4 linked regions of the Coturnix japonica genome follow. The protein of the gene in region 4 interacts with the protein of the main gene of each other region in a pairwise test. Links are inferred from orthologs where the notes say so. Each region holds a gene or a part of one and is shown on either strand. Other genes may lie near its edges.

What was found.
Region 1: the proteins of myomegalin-like (region 4) and CCDC146 interact in binary tests that used the Homo sapiens proteins (3 or more experiments, as listed by UniProt). The two-hybrid records come from large-scale screens. The link is inferred for Coturnix japonica from reciprocal best matches to the Homo sapiens genes PDE4DIP and CCDC146.
Region 2: the proteins of myomegalin-like (region 4) and LMO4 interact in binary tests that used the Homo sapiens proteins (3 or more experiments, as listed by UniProt). The two-hybrid records come from large-scale screens. The link is inferred for Coturnix japonica from reciprocal best matches to the Homo sapiens genes PDE4DIP and LMO4.
Region 3: the proteins of myomegalin-like (region 4) and IMMT interact in a two-hybrid assay, tested with the Homo sapiens proteins (2 studies listed by BioGRID and IntAct, with this or other methods). The link is inferred for Coturnix japonica from reciprocal best matches to the Homo sapiens genes PDE4DIP and IMMT.

The regions. Positions count from the first base shown.
Region 1 is NC_029516.1:11,440,899-11,445,223, forward strand, and holds the end of CCDC146 (coiled-coil domain-containing protein 146), read right to left. Parts: intron 4,069-4,325; exon of another isoform or gene 4,040-4,068; coding exon 3,902-4,039; intron 2,788-3,901; coding exon 2,539-2,787; intron 1,585-2,538; coding exon 1,381-1,584; 3' UTR 1,067-1,380; downstream 1-1,066. Other genes in the region: GSAP (gamma-secretase-activating protein), read left to right, coding at 1-51. UniProt on the Homo sapiens protein: Essential for sperm flagellum biogenesis and male fertility.
Region 2 is NC_029523.1:13,757,122-13,762,974, forward strand, and holds the start of LMO4 (LIM domain transcription factor LMO4), read right to left. Parts: upstream 3,870-5,853; 5' UTR 882-3,869; intron 1-881. UniProt on the Homo sapiens protein: Transcription cofactor. Plays a role in establishing motor neuron identity, in concert with MNX1, acting, at least in part, to disrupt LDB1-LHX3 complexes thereby negatively modulating interneuron genes in motor neurons.
Region 3 is NC_029519.1:77,500,682-77,505,829, forward strand, and holds the end of IMMT (MICOS complex subunit MIC60), read right to left. Parts: intron 3,990-5,148; coding exon 3,975-3,989; intron 3,123-3,974; coding exon 2,899-3,122; intron 2,603-2,898; coding exon 2,471-2,602; intron 2,058-2,470; coding exon 1,928-2,057; intron 1,592-1,927; coding exon 984-1,591; 3' UTR 624-983; downstream 1-623. UniProt on the Homo sapiens protein: Component of the MICOS complex, a large protein complex of the mitochondrial inner membrane that plays crucial roles in the maintenance of crista junctions, inner membrane architecture, and formation of contact sites to the outer membrane.
Region 4 is NC_029523.1:4,160,404-4,165,551, reverse strand, and holds the end of myomegalin-like, read right to left. Parts: intron 5,067-5,148; coding exon 4,849-5,066; intron 4,753-4,848; coding exon 4,576-4,752; intron 4,166-4,575; coding exon 3,971-4,165; intron 3,830-3,970; coding exon 3,698-3,829; intron 3,595-3,697; coding exon 3,475-3,594; intron 3,403-3,474; coding exon 3,225-3,402; intron 3,157-3,224; coding exon 3,032-3,156; intron 2,918-3,031; coding exon 2,819-2,917; intron 2,691-2,818; coding exon 2,512-2,690; intron 2,298-2,511; coding exon 2,160-2,297; intron 2,088-2,159; coding exon 1,949-2,087; intron 1,854-1,948; coding exon 1,807-1,853; intron 1,591-1,806; coding exon 1,558-1,590; 3' UTR 1,055-1,557; downstream 1-1,054. Other genes in the region: PRKAB2 (5'-AMP-activated protein kinase subunit beta-2), read left to right, coding at 68-145. UniProt on the Homo sapiens protein: Functions as an anchor sequestering components of the cAMP-dependent pathway to Golgi and/or centrosomes.

The sequences.
Region 1 (4,325 bases), on a different chromosome or scaffold from region 4:
GAAGCAGCACTGAAACACACGATGATGCTCTTGGGCCTCAGATATTCCTGAAACGACTTTCTTCAACTGCATGTAAATGATGGTACTCAAAATCATTCACACAGAAGTGTGCAGCCAACTCTGACGTTATTTAGTCTTAAATGTCATGTTGTTTGCTAATTACTCAGCAGTTTTGAGTAGCCACCATTACTGACATCAGCTACTCAAAGTAGCAATTGTCCAGTGCACTAAGACTGAAATTACTGACCTGTAGGTAAACTGTAGAGAAGTACATCTGACGCAGACCTGGGTTCCCAGCACATCTGGGGTTTCAGTTCTGAAGTGGTCAAATCAATGGAACTATTGGGTATTAAAACATGCTGTGAAATATGGTATTACTCTTAACAGTTTTAACGAGACAGACAATGCTGGAAAGGGTAGTCCAGCTGTACAGTAACAAGAAACTGGCCACTGTTTACTCATTTAGACTAATAAAAGCTTTTCTTGATACGATAATGTAAAATAGGTAAGAATAACAAATGACAAGTCGGTCTTTGTATATAATGCACCAATAATGATACTCATTCCTTGCGGTGGCCATATATTGCCTTATGGTACTTCTGCCTTTGGAGTGGGATTCTAATATATTCAGCGATGTAATTAGCACAAAATGTAGTCTCCTTAAATTATATGGGAGAGGGATTTTATGTTATGTTTGTTTTTTTTAAGACATGTATGATATATTGAATGCAATACAGGGCAAGAAGGAAATTCTTCGGAAATGTACCTTCACAGCAGCATGGAATGAGTTTTACTCAATTCTCTCCTTCCCGCTTTTAGTATTACAGTTCAAAACTGCTTCAGGAAGAACGGCTGGAGGTTGTTTTCTCCTCATTTTGACTATTATTTATGAGTAACCAAAGTGGGTTTGGTTTTTTGTGTGCACTTTTTCATATTTTGAAGGTTGGCATAAATTTTTCTCAGTTAAATATTTTTTTTTCAGTCTTGGGCTGTGGAAAGCTGTGATGTTGTATTTGTGTAATGTGTGGAGACTTCATTCATGTGCTATTAATAACCAGAGAAGATCTTCTACCTTATTGTTTTTATTGAAATGTGCGGTAAAATAGATGTAATAAAACTTTACCTGAAAAAACAAAAGAGTAGTCTGATGATTACTCATTTTAAAATACTGCAGTGCATTTGGCATATCAGGCTCCACCAAATCAGAAGGAAGGAACTTGTATCACTGAGTATTTAGCTGCGCTTCTGGAATTATGTACTGCTTTGTTTGCTGTGTAGAATTTGGCTATACTCTAATGTGCATTTCATGTAGGATAAGTGCTGTCAACTTGTGATACTCAGCAGCTGGTAAGGGCTTCTCTTCCTTCATGTGCTGTCTTCTTAGATTTCAATTGGCTTTATAATTGGTTTTCTGAAATGTCTTATATTTGAACCAGGTTCGTTTGGCTTGAAAGGAGCCAAAGCGCCATAGGGCCGTGGCAGTGGCAGGCTGTATGCATCATCTGGGACATAAGCATTTGGCCGCGGTTCAGCTGTTGTGTGGACATGGCCAAGCACTGCAGCTTCTTCCTCTTCTGCAGCCTGCTGTAAAAGAAACACACTATGAGCACATCGTGCCTACTTGTTTTAAGACTGCAGTCAGTACTCTTCTGAGCCAAGGTGGAGGATGCCCAATGTATAAATACTAAATACTATTCACCCAGTTCTTAGCAAATCAAAAAACAAGAAAACACAGGCAGGTGTTTAACTGTTCACTGAGGGAAAGCATAATGTACTGACCACATAGGTATGAGTTTGTCCTTTTAAATACTGTGTAGTTTGAGCCTGTAATACTTTTGTTGTTGAGAAAGAAAATGAGATGAACTTGCAGTAATTACAATAAGTGTGCACAGACCATCTCGGGAACAAGATAATAGATATGATGCTTCAAAGCCCAGTTTGTATTTATGCTGACAGCAGCTATTCTTGAATACTATCACTGTACTAATAATATGATATGAAAAGAGTCAATGACAAGAGGTTTCTTACTGTAAACCAGTTTAACTGCAACAGTTCTTTGTGCCTTCAGGCTCTTGAAACGTATACACTGTGCATTCCTCTCCTAGTTTTGTGTTCATTTCGGATTACTTTGGAGAAGGAATCATATAGCAAGGCCAGTTTCCTACCTGCAGGTTTTCCCTCAATTATACTCATCTCAGTTGTATTTGTCTATCTATCAGTTAACTCAAAGCACTGTCACATAAAGCAAGATCTACCTTTGATTATTAAAGTAATTTGAGTGTAACATATCCTCTACTTAAGGTCTGAGACCTGTTCTATCTGAGCAGTGTGCCAAACTACAGTTTGTAGCTCCAAAAATCCACCATGTGCTGGTTTTGTAGTTGCCTCTGTCTGTCCCATCATCTCCACCAGCTCCTGGAGCCCCGTGGTTGTCAGTGAGCAGCTGTGCATTGTGTGAGATCTGCTGCTCTTTCAGAAGGACAAGTTAGAGCGGTAAAAAAAGGAGGAGCCAAAGCGCAACTCAGAGCAAAAACTTACTCTAGCTCTGGCCTCTGCTGCTTCTTTGTGCATCTTCTCGTTGCGTAAAACCTTCAACCATTCAATCTCTGTCTCTTTAGGAGGAGGAAGGCCTTGTTCTATCCTTGACGAAACAATCATCAAAAACTCTTCTCTGTCTCTCATTTCCTGATGGAGTTTAATGGCAAGGGCCTGCTTCATGGATAACTCTGCGACAAGAGCCATCATCTTCTTGGTCCTGTCTTTTATCTTCTGCTGTAGTTCATTTATCTGGAATCAGAAACCAAGTGCATTTTGCATATTTAGTAACAATTACATCTATAGACACTTAGTGGTGCTCAGGTATGGGAAAGTAAGGTTGGTGAAATCAGCTGTGTTTCAAAAAACAACTCTGTTCTTGAAAATAATGGTTGGAAAATATCATCTTTGTAATGCTATCCTGCCCCTTACAGATGACGAACAAGACTTCCATTTACCACAAAGGAAGGTATTAAGCCTGGATTCTGATTAAGCCTGCGCACAATTACTGCGTTACTAACAAGTGCGTTAAGTCCAGGCCTCACAAAGTAGTTCAGTGATAAAACACGGACACGGCTGTTCTGTGAGGTGCTGAGTTGTTCTTAGCAGGGAGGTGGACAGAAAGGGAACAGGGTGGGAATCTGTGATTATGAGTGGACAGAAGTTAAAAATTAACATTAACAAAAAAAGAAAGTGTAAAAGAGCTCCAATGCTGTTTTTAAGGTAATCGATAGAGAATTGGTAGAGCCTGAGTGTGTAACTTCTGGCACACTGCCCTTTGTGCAGTAAATGGCCAATGGCTGTAATTTCACAAGGGCAAATGGCAGCCGTGTTATTTCTTTCTGTAGAAAAGGAAAGATTTCCTCCTGAAGAGATGTGTTCTGATTTTAAGCCTGAGCGCCAGAGTTAACAACAAAGAAAAGTCAGCCCTGGCCTTGTTGTACATTATTACATCACTGTGTTGTTTGTTTTCTCTCTATCTCTCACTGGGTTTGGAGCTATTTGGAGCTTTTTCATCAGTGTGGTGGAGGTGGGAAGATTTCTTTTTTTGGCTGCTGCTGTGTTTGTTGTGCTATGGCCAATGCTGATGACTTCCTGTCTCTGTCCTTCTCTCTTTTGCTTTCTCAATTTCCTCTCTGTTGTTATACGCTTTCCAAGCAGCCTCAAGTTATTTACTTAAGGATCAGGCCTCCTCTCCTTCCATGTTTTGCAGTTATTACATCTGTCCTTTCTTAAGACTAACATACAATTTGCCTGTCACTGATTCCAGCTGCTAGTTTCGTAATTTGCAAGCAAGTCATCTCAGCTGCAGCCCAGATAGAATCTTGTTTCCTATGGGCCAGTGAGCAGAGCGTGCCCTCCTTACCCGTGTTGCCAGCAGCATTGTGCCCTGCTGCCCGTTCTCTGCTGTGGCGCGGATCCTGTCTGTGAGCCGGACGATGTGTTCGTAGATCATCTCTGTCTCCAGCAGCTTCTCCTCCTTCTGCACCAGCTCCTCCTCCAGCTGCAGTGGGAAGAATATGCACAGCACAGGTAAACGCTGGGGGAAGGTGCAATAATGAGGAGAGATTGAGTGGGAATGTTAAATCCTACGTCACAAGTTCATGAAAGCCAGTTCTGTAATGTTGGTGAGGTTTGTACAGGTGGGCTGTGACCCTGTGCCCACACAGCCCTGCTGAGATCCCTGCTCTGCCACAGGACACAGGGATGTAAAGCAAAAGGTTTGAGCAATGCAAGGGACCCCAGGGAGTGTTTGTGCTGAATCACTGCTGACTGCCCTTCAGTAAGAG
Region 2 (5,853 bases), about 9.6 Mb from region 4:
TCTTTCCTATCCTCCTGAAGAGAGGTGCTCACTTCTCCCAGCCACAGAATTTGTTTCCCCTTCCCTCTTTACAGATGCCTTGGTAAAAAAGAAATTAGTTTCCTGACATCTACTGCATTTGTTGTGCTGACATCACAGAGTCAACAAGAACAAGTATTTATACTTCTATTATGCCTTCATTGAACTGAACAAGGTGTTCAACAGGACATTTTAATTATAATCCCACTTCTAGCAGCATGAGTAAAGGTGTTTAAAAAACACAATCAAGCATGAAATGGAACAGTAAACATGCCATTTCAATTACAAAATTATGTATAAGCACATCCTTACACAGCACAACATTTGAAGACTCTGAAATGCTAAAATCCTACCTGAAGCCCTGAGAGGTTTTGTGCACTGTGTCATGCTCAGAGACAGATGTGACTCACCAGAACCTCCAGGAAATCTGTGGCCTTCAGGAAAACATTCAGCCAGCTGTGATAGGGGATATAGTAGAAAGGCCTGAACACCTCACTGTCTAAGGTGAAAGCTTTTCTTTTCTGCACTTGATACCACTGGGCACTCCAGGAGCAGCTAGTAACATGGTGAATACTCTTGCCAAAGCATAACCAAACCATAGCAGCCTGTCCTCTGCAGTTCCCAGGGAGACAAGAGTTTCCCAACACAGCCCCAGAGAGGTGGAAACTGGAACTCACTTTTCTGCCATGCAAATTAGACTTGAACTAATGCTGAGTGCATTAAGCTCCCAAAGACATTTGGAGATCATAACATAAAATCTGGTGCTATCTTGTGATCTAGATTATTATCTTTTCCACAAACAGTTCAGTTCTGTTTAATAGACTATGCAATTGTCCATGGTATTATCTTCCAGAATATCTTACCTGGAAATTACTCTGTTAATCTGACTTGAAAGTAATAACATCCTCAGGAATTTCACAGTCACTGAGATGAATCTGTAAATACAGCAAATAACTAGTTTGTAGGAAAGTATTTAGTAATCTCACAAATAAACATGCAAAAACATTCAACTGACAAGAAACTACACTGGTGTCTGTAAGTATTAAATAATACTGAGAGCATTAAAAGTTTGCTATCCCTCTGAAATGCAATTTCTTACTCTCTCACTAAGCTCTCAGAGTTGAAGGAAAAAAACAGCATATTTTTTCCATTTCTGGAAAAACCCGTCTTTCTCAAAATGCCAGACCACCTCATTAGTGGAAGCCTTGGTTAGCTTATAGATAGCTGGCAGAGGTGTTTTGTTGTGCTTGTTTCCACTTCATTTTTTCCCCCCACCATTATGAGTAAGTAGAAGTAAAAGCACAGTTTTCATTGCCTGTAATGGGAGCAGAATGTGCTTTTATTTCATAGTCATTTTCCATTCTTCTCCTGGCAGTACCTGGAAAATCACGTGAAGAGAGATGCGACTGTGAGGTAACTTGGTGGTGAAGGCTCCAGAAGCCAACACTAAATGCAGATAACATATTTTTGACTAACAGTGCACATTTACAGCCTCTGACCAGAAATTAAAGAGTACTGTTATATGGAGAAGTCATTAACTGATATTTAAAGCTGGGAAATAGAGGAAGTATGAGGAAACCGAAAATGTAAGGCCTATATTTAACATCTCTTAACTTCAAACTGACCAACTAATGGGGCAAAGCCTTGAAGTTCATTTATAGTGGAAGAAATGAACATGAGACCTACGTGATTAATGCATCTTCTCCTTGAATGTAAGGCTTACGTTAGAAGAAAGCCATGCTGCTTTTGCAGTGTTTCAGAACTGCTGAAGCCAGATCATGTCCTCTCCAGATTCTGGATTAACCAAGGTTCAGACTATACAGCAGAACAGGTCCACAAAAACTTCAAGGCTTTTTTACCAACAGATTTAACTTGTGTCATGGTTAGAAACAGAGTTCATAACTAGTTAGGCTTGAATAGTTATCACAGGTAATGATGCATGGGAAGGAAAACATGCAGTGCTGGGAACATAATTTTCAGGGTCAACTTCAGAAAGCCATACAGTTTTATCTATAGAATCAGCAGAGAAGCAAGCATGCAGCCTGGCATATAAAGGTCATATTGAAGCCACTCTTCAGACATCTCCCTAGCTGGGTGTTGCTGAGCCTGGAGCTGAGCTGTGGCTTCTGCAGCCACCGGCAGGAATAGGGTGCTCTGCCTCCAGGCGGGGCCCACACAACTCTGGCAGATGCCAAGGGAGCAGAAGGCATTGACACCAGCACAAGGGTCCTCAAGATCTTCCAAGAACGAAGGCAGAGAGAGTAAAATAGAAGTAGCTGAGAGATGATACAGCTGCTTTGCAGAGTACAGCCACAACAGGAGCTGTAATCAGAGAGAAAACAGCGTGCCTGTCTGAAATGCTATTTCTGCTTTATTGTGTAAATACAGGAACTATGACTTCATGTCTCACACTTCAAGAGACATACTCTCAGGCTTGTTTTCTTCCATATCTGAGCTCTAAGACATGCAAAATGTGTCTCTGTATTTCAGTTCTGGCTGGAGGTTAATCTCTAGAAACAAGTAATGTAACATTTCCATCTATCTTTTCTATTCTTTTGGCGGTTTTAATTACACTAATATACTATGACACTTTAAACAAGACACATCTCAGCTTATGGCCTGCTCTGCAATGGTTCAGCTGCTGTGTGTGCTCCAGCACATTTTGCTCAGACAGGCTGCTGCAGGCTGGGGGTGCAGAATAGTGCCCTTCTGTCATGAGAGATTTCATTGCACTGATCATTGTGTATTTGACAGACTCTTTGTCAATGTCAAGTGTCTTTTGTGGTTAAGCCCAGTAAAGCTAAAACAAAAGGTCTCCTAGATATTAGATATATAGTGACATTACTGAATTCACTCGGAGGCAGTAATTTTTTGTCAGCCTCTGAAAAGAAAAATGGAGCTAATGGGAAAACAAAAGGAAGATGCTGGCATGTCTTTTTAGCTATTTTTGTTTATGTCAGACAGTGTGATTGACATCTGGCCCAGAACACCCTTTCAACCACCGAGGCTGATGTCATGAAACAGAACAAAGAGAAACTGCCAGGCAAGAAAACACTAATGGCTCAGAAAGCACTTTTTTGGGTTTATTTTCTTTTAAGTGTTTCATTTTCAGTAATCAGTATCACTGCACAAAAGTGCACTCATAGGCACCCCCTCTTACTATTTGGACTTCTAAGTTTCCTTTGTGTTTGCTTTCTTCCTTCTTGCCTGAATGGCACCACAGTTCTGGTTTGGTTGGTTGACAGTCTGTCATAACAGTGATGTTTGAGGTTAGTGAAAACTGACATGAAAAATACAATCCACTGGCCTTTAACTGAAATAGCAGCTCTGTTTTTTTGTGGAGTTGGCAGGCAGCATTTTTAAACCCCTTTCACGGTGAAGGCAGTTACAACATGTTTTTCTCTGTATCAAGCAGTTCCATCATGAAGTGCATTATCTACATCTGTTGTCATATCAGGATACTGCCTTTGAAGAGCAGTTTACTGTTTCTTGTGAGATCACTTCTGCTGAAGCACCCTAAGAGGGTTAAGGAAATTTCATGGTCATTCTCCATTGCCAGGCCCATTACAACGCTTTAACATTTATTTAAGAGAGTTTTAGAAGTGTCAGTGACCAGAACAGCTCCTGCAGACACACAACACCACAGAGACTTCTGCATTTGCTCGCCACTTTGTCAAAATAGGAAGAATCCCAGTGTCCCTCTAATATTGTCTAGAGTCATTATATACATTATAAGCATAATGTTCGCATTCTGCAAGTGCTGTAGATTTTGATGTACTTAGTCAGCGTTATGTGCTAGCAGGAGGAAATTATTCTCTAAATTTTTAACTTTGTCTTGAAAGTATGATGCTAAACATAAACCAAATGACTACGAAAAAAAAAAAAAAGCAACAATAAAACATAAAAGAAAGCTTTTGGCAAGACAAGAGCAGGACATTTTATCAGCTATTTAGGTACAGTTACATTCTGAAATCATTGGAGAATTCTTAACAAAAGAGATCTTAATCACTTTAAAAGATTCCAAGGAATTTGGCCTTTGAATGCATCAGGTGTGCTGCAGCTAAATATCCCTGCACCTTTTTAATAGGGTTTACTCCAGTATTTAATGCAGAGCTATATTCTCCTCTAGAAGCACACACTTAACTCCCCCCAGCACTAATAACAGATATGTTCACACATCGAGTGGAGAATTTTCTCTCTGTCTTTGCACAGTGTTCTAAAAAGAACTTTGAAGAAATTGAGAAAAACAGAAAGAGAAGTATATTAATTTTAAGGAGATGAAAGCACCACATGTCATTCCTAAATTTCATGGAAAATGCTCCGTTAGTAACAAAGATGAGCAGAAAATTTCAAAATCATTTTGAGCAGCATTAAAATCAGTCCTCCCTGATTTTCTGTTTTCCCCTTCTTTTCAAAGCACATACATTAAACTCATTTTATGCTTATAATGTATATAATGATTCCAGACAACATGAGAAGGACATTGGGATTCTTCCTATTTCGACGTATAAAGTGGCAAGCCAATTTATGCAGCTTAAACCATTGCTAAGGAAGATGTATCAAAAAATGCCTGTGATCATTACAAATAACAGCCTGAAATGTTCACAAGAAGCTGTTTGCTTATCATATTTTCATTAAAACATCTTTTCACCTGCTTTGCTTTTCCCATGCCTGTAACCTGCATTGTAATCAGTCTTATTAACTGAGAACATAAATATGATTTATTATAGTCTGATAATGGAAGCTGCATGGACCAAGAGAAGGGATATATTGTCCTTTGATAAAATGGCTCTTTTCTCTCAAATAGAGCTCTATCATGAGAGCATGCAGAATGTAGTGAGTGATTATTTCCTGAGGGTGAATGATGGCAGAACCCTACAGAAAATCTTCTTGTTGGCCATGACAGCCTCCGAGTGTCCCCAAATCTCACTGAGTTTGACAACCTGCAGACACTTTTGATGAACTGTATTCTTCTGTCAGAGACAGCCTGTCTGGGAGGAGAAAAGGGAACCTTTATCGTCTGATCTGCTATTATTGTCTTGATCTTTTATAAGCAATCTCTAATGCACATGAATATAATATCCTTTCACACAAGTGCCAAACATAATAGAAATGTAGTTTAAGGACCTTTTTCCCAGTTATGTAAATGTCCTAGTGCCATAATTATAAAAGATGGTTTGTGAATGATAGCTGTAAGGAAAGGATAATGAAAATGTTTTAACATTATCTTTCTGTTTTAAAGACCAAAACCTGTGATAAATAGCATTTATGGTACATATGGGGAACCAGTTTGTGCTGAAGCTTTTACCTAAAAAAGAATAGTTTTGAGCATAAAACTGGTGTTATATTTTCATAAAACACATAAATGGCAGCTGATCTTAAGCCAAGAATGATCACTGGCAGATATGACTTAAAGAAAATGAGTATTCCACTCAAAATCCTTCCATGGCTGTTACAGACAGAACAAAGCGTTATTATTGAGCAGTGTATTTGGACAAAGGGGTGTTCAGGACCAACTAAAGTTCACCAACAAATCTCTCTTTTATCTATGTCCAGAAGAACAGGCATAACAGAATCTTTTTCAATTAACAGCTGTACACATTAGCAAAACACCCGTCTTTCTCAGCTGAAGCGGTCTGGCTTATTTATCACAAAAACAGAAATGTTTGGTGGGAAGCTTTCCAAGTTTCCCAGTAAAGGCAAGATACTTGATTTTCATTAACCTTTTGAAATCTGGAGGTGGGGCGTCCCCCTATTAACTACTAATGGTCTTTTGCATTACCAATTGGTGTTAAGAGAAGTCCCAATTGTCAGAGTCAAAAGGTTAATCAGCAA
Region 3 (5,148 bases), on a different chromosome or scaffold from region 4:
TGCTGTAAGTAATCGTTGTCTGTGGTGTTATTTCTCATCCATTTGGTGCTGGGACAGGCTTTGGAATGTAGAGGAAAAGCTGCCACTTGTTTCAGCCTCTGTACAGCTGGATGCTGCATCTAATAAAGGGCTGATGCTAAGGACAGCTGAATTCTGGTAATCTCTGTGCAGACAGTGTTGGTTACGCCCATTCTCTCCTTGCAGAGGAATCTTGGGAGGTTTTTTGAGGTAATTTATTGTGAAGGTCCTTTTCCTGCTCATACTGAAGCATGTCCTACTGTGGGGGAATTAACAGCCAATTCCCTTCATAAGAAATAAGACCTCTCTGGGTGTAATGCTGCAGGACAAGTCCTAACTGCTATGAGGGCAGCTTAAGGATTGGTCAGCAATAAGACTGGGAGACAGCAGCTGCTACAGGTTGAACTGCAGCTTAAAGTGCAGTACAGTAAAAGATTTGTAGTAAAGCTGTTTGAAAGCAGAGTTTGCTCCAGGAATTCAACATGCACTTATTAAGGGGTGGGATTAGTACGAAGATGAAGCCTTGTCTTCCTCAGGTCACAGAGACAGGCCGTTCCTGCATGGCAGCTGTCTTTGCTGCTAAAGAGGAAACTGAGAAGCAGGAGAGTGGTTGAAGTCTTGTTTTATTCAGCTGACAATGTGGCAAATCATTAAGGGCAGGTTACAAACATTTTGGCTGGATCACAAGCCTGCTTGGTAAGACGGGGAAACAAAATTGTTACACAGATTGTGAAGAAGCTTCCTGAAGTTGGTGGTCGTAACGCAAACCCAATACAAATACAACAGGTGGTAACTTAAATACAGTGCAAGGAAACAGGACAGGACCCACGCTTTGATTTAACGCTTCCAGCCCGCCCCCACCAGCTGGTTGGTTTGCAGCCCTTAGGAGCTCACCCTCAGGAGGTTGCTGGGTTTCTCTTCAGCGTGAGCAACTGCTGAACTGCCTCTGAACTAACAGTCCGAGCTCACTGCACTTGAGTTGTTCCCAACCCCACAGCGCTGGCGTATGCTGTCAGGATATCCACTATTTGTTTGGTTTCAAGGGTCATTCGAGCTTCAGTCAGCCAATCGTGTGCGACTCTCCTGGACTCTCCTCTTAACTGGTTGACGAATTTAGCTGCCAGCTCCAGATCTCCGTGTTCAATGCAGTAGGAAGCGTAAGACAGTAATTTAAACGTATCGAGGTCGTCAGGGCTGAGCTCAGCCGGTGGCTTCAGCTGTTGAGGGTGGAACACAAGAAGGGACTGCAGGTAGGACAGGAAGTATTGATACAAGCTGTTTCTCGTTTCGTCAATCATAGCCACTCTTTTTGCCAGTTTTTGGACTGTGTAGAACCGTGCTCTAAGGGCCTCTTCGCTGTACACCCCTCGTGTCAGAGACTCCTGGGGGAGGGCTGCTGTTAAGGCTTCTGTAAAGGCATTGTCAGAACAGCTGGCCTTGATGGCCTTCACTGCGCTCTCCAGCGGCTCAGTGGGGCTGTCACCAGAGGCCGTCTTCATGCAGTACTTGAGTGCTTCCACAGAAAGCCACAGCTGATGGGCCTTTCTGGCCTCCTCTTCTGCTACTGCGTGACCTGCAAAGTCAAGAGGACTCTCAGTTGAGGCACACAGGGAAAGCACTGAACACAAACGTGTTCCAATTCAAGCAACAAAAGCCATCCCTCTGAACACTTCTGAAGTAGCCACCCCCCTGCCATCTGCACAAAGCAAGTCTGTTCCACACCTCAGAGTCCCTGCCAACAGAGCACAGCTATGGCTTTGGCAGAACCAGCTTTGGACTTTGCAGCTGGGACTTATTGAGTACTCGGCCGATGGCAAACCATCAGCCACATGGCTAATCTGGTGTTCAGGCACCAGATCTGGACAAGAACTGTGACTGCTCCTTAAGAAGATGAGATCTCAGTGCTCACTCTCAACTGCTTGCTCAATTCCTTTCAGCCTGGCGTAGGCAGTGTTTATATCCAGCGTGAAGTTGTCGAGCTGCTCCTGATTAAGGCGTCGGAATTGCATTTCTTGCTCGCTGAGTTTCTCTGATAGGTTCTGAAATAGATTTGTACATCATCAGGCCAGCGAGAGCTGTTTCTTCAACTAACCATATTCAACCTCTTAAGATATGTTTGCGTAACCTTTTATTCTTGCTCCAGACAACACACGTAGTAAATATACCACTAATAAGTCCTTTTAAAGTGGTGAAATTAATGGTTAATACATTCCTAACATTCCTAATTATCAAATGTTCACCTATAGCTGAGGATCTTAAGACAACTCAGCATTAAATCTACATGCTGAAGGACTTCACCTCCTCCAGATGAGCAGATTCCCTCCCCAGCCCCCACTGAGTGTTCCAGCAGATGGTTCGCGTTTCCTCCTGCAAAGTGCCTGCTTTGTGAAGCTTCACCACCAGCATTTTGACCAAATTCCCACCCGGCTCCTGGGTGATTCCTTTCTCTCACCTGCTCAAATTCCTCCTTCAGCTCCTGTTCCTGGATCTTAAGGACATCCCGCAGGTGATCGGCGTGGGCAGCTGCCTGCCGCCGGAGCTGCGTCCTCATTTCACTCTCCATCACCTCTCGGACCTCTTCAAGCTGTATGCAATTAAGCAGCACAATTGCACAGCAGTTGTTACCCATCAGGGTATATAGAAGTGTTACTGATTTAAACTCACGCTTTATCTTACAAAGCTGCCAAGGGCTGCTCTTACAGCTCAGCCTTTTCCTAAAGATTACAAGGGGTGGCCATTCTACACCTGAAGAAGTTTCCTTGCTCAAAATCTCCCTTCCGTGCTTAGCATAGGCAGGGGGCCCCAACCTGAAGTCCCCCAGCACTCACAACACCCTGCTGCTCCCTGTGCCCCTCTTCTAGGCGAGTTCCACCACTTTACCTTCTTCTCCTGTTCTATTTCAATCTCACTTTTGTGATGCTCCAGTGCTTTTGCCACAGCTGCCTCGAGTGCCTTTTTATCTTCAAGTTTTTGCTTCTCCAGGGCCAACTCGATGTGCTGCTGCTCCCTGACCCTCTGCTCAGCCAGCTCCTTGTTCAGCTGGTCGATGCGACGATGCGCGTGTGCAATCAGGGAATTCAAGTCGTCTGTTGATAACTGCCCAGCTAAAAAACAACAAGGCGCTATTAGAAAGAGCTGCAGAGAAGCTACCCCACCTCCTACCCCTGGAGAGCTCCAGGGCTCCATACATGGTTGACCTGTGAGCACGTTTTAAGAGACACTGATTGGTGGTAAAGCCCACCCAAATGCTCCTTTCCGAACCAAATCTATAAGAACTTCCCAGCACTTGGGAGAAAAATTACTCCAGTTCATTTGAATCATTCACATCTACAATTCATGCTGTTCAGCAGCTCTCCAGGCCAAATGTTCACAGTCAGATGTTGCTATTTGTTATCTGGTGCAGCAGGTCTGACCCAAAAGCTGAGCAGCACCACCAAGGAGCTCAGAAAAATCAACCTCAGAATCAGAGAGGAAATCAATCATGAAGATTAAATCCAAATTCAGTCCCTCAGTTTGGTGACCCAGCTCAGAGCACCCAGATGTGCTGGTGGTATCAGCAGGAGCCGGCCTCAATCAGGCCCAAAGTTGAAGCAAACCACTGTCAGTTAGAATTAACCACTGTTGATTAGGATGGATTCATTTCTGTTTCCCATTGGGATCTCAGCAGCAGCTGGTGACTGGCTGAAATACACAAAGCAAGTGGAAGCGTGGCTTTCCAATGCAAACCACACTCACCTGGCAAGTGAGAGCTGCTAGACAAAGTCTGGTTTAAGCAGCACATACAGAACTAGCGGCAAGGATCCCAAAGCACAGCCCAGTCTGAAATATTGCAGGGATATTTTTCACTGCTTTGCTGATAGTGCATGTAATTAAAGTGGTGCACCACACAAACATCAAAAAGGACAAAGAGGAAAGAGAGAATATTCACAAGACCAGAAAAAGTTACAGGAACTCACCTAGATCAGTTATGTCTGCAACAGAAAGAGGAGAGGTTGGAGAAGTTAATGCACATTCACTACAGCAGTCAGTCGTGCAATAGTACAATGGACAACTAAAAGCTTCTGGTCTAGAGTGATCCAAGGCTGCAGGAGTTCAAGAACAGACTCCGGAGATCCCTCCTTGTTACAAGCAAGATGTAACCCAAACATCCCCACCACTACAGCTGCCTTTGGAAACCCACAGATGAACCTTTAGGTTCAGTCAAAGCGAGAAATACAAGTAAAGAAGTGCAACAGGACACTGAGAATTTCCAGGTCCTTACAAACGAGCAGTTGGGTAAGAGACAAATTCCCAGGTAGCAGTGAGAGTCACTATCGAGTCAGTCCTGTACACTAAGTAGGGTCACACTGGTGTGAAACTGAACGCCTGGAAGCTGCCGGGATGTTCCCTCTCTCAGAACAGTGCAGTGCTCACAATACTCAGGATGTCCTCCCCTTATCCTGCATTAGAAATGGTAGCTCCATCTCCAGATGCCAAATCCCATTTTCTTCAGAACTAATATCCCAGAAGATTGAACATAAGAGAGACAGCACAGCAAACTGCAGTTTCTCAACCTAGTAAGTTCTCCCAACTTCTTACAGAACAAAAACCCCATGTGTTACACAGGCCTGGTGTTTTCATTTAGCTTTGAAAATGAGTTTGTGGACTAACATTCACATTTCTAGAGCATTAAGTACCATTAAGAAAGAGGATCACAGAGGATGAGCTGACTTGCTTTAGCCATAAGAATTTAACTGCAAGCCTGACTCCTTCCCTGCCTGCCTGCAATCACACTGTGGTGGTATCTGAACCTTCCAACAACTCTGAGTAATACATTTATCCCTCTACTGAGGCAGAAAGATTCTAACTGTACTTCTGAATCACATTTCTCACTTCACTTTTATCTGTTCTAAGGAAAGCAGGAAGGAGCTCCAGCTGAAAAACCCAAGCACCTCAAAAACATGAGTGTGCCAGATGTCAGACCTCAGGCAAAGAACTGTAGCAGCTGGAAAACACCACGCAGCCATTTACTGCTTCTGTGCAGCACTGGCTGTTACTCCAGATCAACTCCTGTGTCACTCTCCTTTAGAACTAACACACTGGGATAAGTGAAGTATTTAAAGAGCAGTGAATTCACTCTTTCAGTTATCT
Region 4 (5,148 bases):
GCTGCCTGGGGGTGCCCTATGGCACTGAGCTCCCCACCCACTGCAGCTGATGCTTTGCCTCTCACAGGATGGCGTGATGGTGCTCAGTGCCACACACCGCTACAAGAAGAAGTACGTCACCACGCTGCTGTACAAACCTATCTGAGCCGGGGCCTCGCCCACCCCCCACGCAGGACACGAAATGCCACTTTGTCTGCACACGCTGGGCCACAGGACTGTGTGAGGACTGGCTGCTGGATCCAGCCTCTAACCTGGGGGGGGCTGCAACCCCCAGTGCTGAGCCCAGGCCTGCTGGGGCCGTCCTGCTGTCCCATTATACTGGTGTGGTTTGATTTAACCCTTGGTTTCCGCCCACCTGCAGCTCCCCTTTGGCTTCAGTGAGTCTCTGGGGCTGCTTTGCTGCTCACGGAACAGCTTTTCCTCGCTCCTGACACAGAAAGGGCTTCACTGCTCCTCTGCTCTAGACTGTGATGGCCCTGAGGCTGTCCTGGCACCGTCCACAGCCAGGCCAGCAGCAAAGTGACCTTTTGCTGCCCTGGTAATGAGCCTCCAAGGCCATGTTGGTCCTTGGAAGCTTGGGGAGCCTCAGCCTGCCACTGTCCCTCTGTTCCTCAGCCCTGGCTGCAGGGCTGTCCCGCTCCTTCTGCTCCCCAGCTCCAAGGGGAGCTCTTGGCCTCTACCACGTTCAGTGCTGAGCCAGGAGGAGGGTGGGCAGAGCTGGATGCGCCATGCTTACCTGCTGCCAGGACACCAACATCAAGGACTGAACGCCTGCCCCATCACCACCATCGGGTGCTTCTGGCGGGCCTGGGGAGAGCGAAGCAAGGCAGATACCCCAGGACCCCAACTACATCATCTGCTGCTGTAGCAGTGCCATGTGACAGGGTTTTCTCTATTTATTACAGTATTTATTGTTCTCTGTGCTGCTGGCCTGGTGTTGGAGGGGTGTTTGGGAACAGTGAGACCATTATTGTGCCACGGTGCACCCCCTGGGACAGCCACCAGGACCCCGAGGTGGCTACAGGAGGGGGCACAGCCGCAGGGACAGGTGTGCTGCAAACACCAGGACCCAAAGGAAACCTTTATTGGGGATTCTTAGGCCACTGAAGAGACTGAAGAGTGTCATTCCTTACATTTTCCTCCCATGCTGGGGCCTTGACATGCCCAGAGAGGACCCTGAAACACAGCTCCAATATCTATACCTCTCTCTCTATATATATACATACATCCATGAGCAGGAGCGGTTATGCAGCAAGGTTACACACAAGACTGAGTTCCGGGGCAAGAAGTGCTCGGCTTGGAGGGCTGTGACACCCTGCTCTGAGCACAGTGGGTGGAAGGGGGCAAGCAGTGAAGCATGGGGCAGGCAAAGCCCAAGCCAGCTGCTGCGATGCCAAGCAAAGGCAGGTGAAGGGCACACAACTGCCACAGGAGTCCAAACCCACTAACAGCAGCGCCTGGGGCAGCGCTGGGCACCCCTGAGCCCTGTCCGTTCCAGCCCTCCAGTGTGGGCCATCGTGTGGCCAGGGACATTGCTCCCATCGTTCAGCCTGAGGCTCACGCAACAGGCAGGGCTTGCTGGGCCTTCACCTGGTGAGAGAGCACACACAGAATGGGGGCATAGCCCTCAGGGACCCATGCCCCAGGAACAGGGATGCAAGGAGTGGGGGCAGCCCGCAGGACCCACACCAATGCATGCTGGGCTCACCCTACCCTCTGTTGCCTGCCATCTGTACCCAGCCCCAGTTGAGGCCCAGAAACTTTCACCAGGAGAAGGGCATCCAGCCCTGTCCAGGGCAGACTCACCTCCAGATTTGTCCTGGCCTTGTGCAGCACGTTGTGAGTCCTGGTCACTGTGAGGGACAGAGGGACAGAGTCAGCAAGGTCCCTGTGCCACAGGGTGACCCCAGGCACAAGGGTACCAGGCCAGTGTGGCCGTGCCACATACACTGGCTGACTATGAACTGTTCCATGCTGTCCTTGAGCTGGGCCATGCTGTGGAGCTGCTTGGCTGTGCTCTGCAGAGCATCCTCCCTCTTGGAGAGCTGGGCACGCAGTGCTGTGATCTCACTCTGTAACGCTTGCTCCTGGGATGAGACGTATGCCATGAGCAGCGAGCACCCAGCCCGCTCACCCTGATGGCTCCCCATGGTGCTCACCTTGCCCTGGTGCTGAGCGGGGCCAACGGGCAGCACGGTGCTCCAGAAGGTGGTGAGGAGCGAGGCACACTCCTCCAGGATGCGGTGCAGGGTGCTGGCACTGCCCCAGAGGTGCCCTGTGCCTATGCATCCCGGGACCTGTGGGAAAAGGGTGCGGGAGCAGGTGCTGCTGGAGCATCTCCATCCCCCTCCCCTGCCATGGGGAGTGTGCTACAAGGATCCAACCCTAAATCACCCAAAGCAGCACCTGCACCTGGTAGCAGCCTGGTATGCCCGCAGCCATGGAGCAGATGGAGTAGATGGCAGAGCCCTGCTTGCTGCAGGCCCCCAACCCACCCTGCCCGCCCTGTACCTCCTTTCCTGTGCTGGACAGCCCGAGTGCTGGGCGTGTCAGGCATATCAACTCATGGGCCAGTGCCTTTCCTTCCAGGACGTGCTGCTCCAGGGAATGGTAGGTGTCCAGGTGCCCGACAACATGAGCCCCTGCCAGTCCCTTGCTCTTCTTCACTGGAGGGTTGGCCCTACACGGCTCTGTAGGGAAAGCAGAGCTGGTGAGGAGCAGCGCTTGCTTCCGCTTGCAGCAATGCCCTGAGCTCAGCAAGGGTACCGTGAGTATCTCAGTCTGAGGAGCACTCATGCAGGAGGGCTCAGCTACCTACCAACTGTATGCTGGGGCATCAGCGTGTCAGAGCGTGGTGAAGAGAAGGGAGCTACCGAGCTGGTGCCAACATCCCGCACAGGAGGAGATGGGAAGCAGCCTGGAACAAGATCCAGCTGAGCCCTGCAGATGGCTGCGGCTGCTGGGGGCCTCCCTCCCTGCCTGCACCCCAAGGTCAGGAGCAGGGCTGCCGAGCTGGGCACAGTGCTGGTACCTGCACGGGGCTCGGTGGTGGGGCCGGGAAGGCTCTCATAGACACGAAGCTCTGTGCGCAGGGCCTGCAGAAGCAGGCGGTGCTCCTCACTCTGCTGCTGCAGGAGCGTTACTGTGTGCTGCAGCCTGCACAGAGGTGACATGTAGGTCCGGAGCCAGCCACAATGCCCAGCCCTGCCATCCCCAGACCTCACCTGTTTTTGTCCTCCTGCAGAGAGAGCCTCTCGTCTCGCAGCTGCCGGATGCTCTCCTGGTGCTTGCTGAGCTCCTCTGCCAGCCTCCGCTGCTCCCCACGCCGCTGGCCCAGCTCAGCCTCTGCCTCCCGCACCCGTGAGCAAGCAGCCAGGAGGGCCTCCTGCACCCGTGCCAGCTCTGGGGACACACAGACGTCAGCGTCACCCTGCTCAGCGATTCCCCTCTAGGACACAGGTGGCCCAACCCTACCTCGAGAGAACTGGTCACACTGCAGCCGCAGGGTCCGGTTGTCCTCACGCAGTGCCTGGTTCTCCCTGCTCAGCTGCAGCCCCAGCTCCGGCCCTTGAGCATAGATGTCACTGGGCAAACCTGCAGAGGGGGGCAGGTGCTGAGCTCCTTTCCCCAGCACCACGATATGCAAGGGGTGAGCACTCAGGGAGCACAGTCCCAATGGCCGCATGCTGTGCCGTACCACTGGGCTTCCCGGTGGAGGCCAGGCGGCGTTCGAGCTGCTCCCGGAGCCGGTCGTTGGTGCAGATGGACTCCTCCAGGCGCTGGCGCAGGCTGCGGATCTCCACCAGGTGCTCCTCCAGCAGGTCTGCCCCTGCACACACAGGGACACGTCTCCATGACACACACACTGCCCACCCCACACCATGCCCACCACCTGCCCCCCCTGCCCTGAACCTTCTGAGGCTGAGTCTCCCCAGCAGTGATGCTCCCAAGCTCCCAACGCTCCTCATACCTGTTAGCTTCTGGCTGCTTGGGCACCCTGATGGCAGTGTCCCATAAAGCCGGACAGCAGCTGGCACATCCCAGAGGGCGGGGGGCTTGAATAGGTTCTGCAGAGTGCCATGCTGGCACAGTGATGCTGCTGGCTTTCCGGCCTCCCCAAAGGGACCCAGTGAGGCTGTGGGTTTTGCTGTTGGCAGTGTCACACCTGCACACACAGGGCAAAGCGGTGAGGAAAAGGAGAGGGCAGGGAGGAAGAACTGGGATGACAAACCCTGTCTCCACTTGCTTCTTGCTGTGCCCATCAGTGCAGCCACTGTCTCCCATTCACCCCAAGTAACAGAGGTTCTCCCAGTGTGTGCTGATCGCATGACACAAGCTGGGAAGCCTCAGTCTCTCTCCTACCCAACGACTACCCAAAGCAGCCCTTTCCAAGGGGTGTTCATCCCACCCTCCCTTTCTTCAAGGGTGTACAAGAGGAGCCATGTGTCCCCATCATCCCCCTGCAAGAGTGCTGGGACTTGGGGAGAAGGACATTGAGTCCGGGGGGCCATGGGCCATGCAGCACAGTACAGCAGGGCAGGAAGGACCAACCCCACGCCAGGGGTGCATGCTCACTTTCTCCCAGCTGCCTCTGGAGCACTTGCAGCTCCTGTTGTGCCTCAGCCAGGGAGCAAGCACGGGTCCCACAGCAGCCCAGGGATGCAGGGAGTCCAGTGGGCAGGAAGGAGTGAGCGGGTGCCGGTGCTGGCAGGGGGACATTGTTGGGTTTGGACAAGGAGTCAAAGTGGAGGCCTGGAGACAGGAGTGAGATGAAGAGGGGTGTTAGCATTGGGCTCTGTGCTCCAGCCACAAGCTGCAGAAGGGCTGCGTGCCCCCAGCTAGTGGTACCTGGGAGTCGGGAGGGCTCCTCGGGGCACTGGCTGCACTCGCTGGCTGCTTCCCCATCGGAGCTGGGCTCCAGAACATCAGACACAAAGGAGGTGCTGGTAGCAGAGCGCGATGACTCAGAGGGAGGGTGACTGCTGCCTGGGGACTCACACCGCTCCTTCAGCTTTGCCTCCAGGCTCTCAATCACCTTCTCCTTCTCTTGGAGCTCCCGGCTGAGCCTGCAGAGACAGCCCATCAGCAAGGCTAGTGACCCTGCACAGCCCTTCCCTGCTGTGCCACATCCATCAGGAACTACAACAT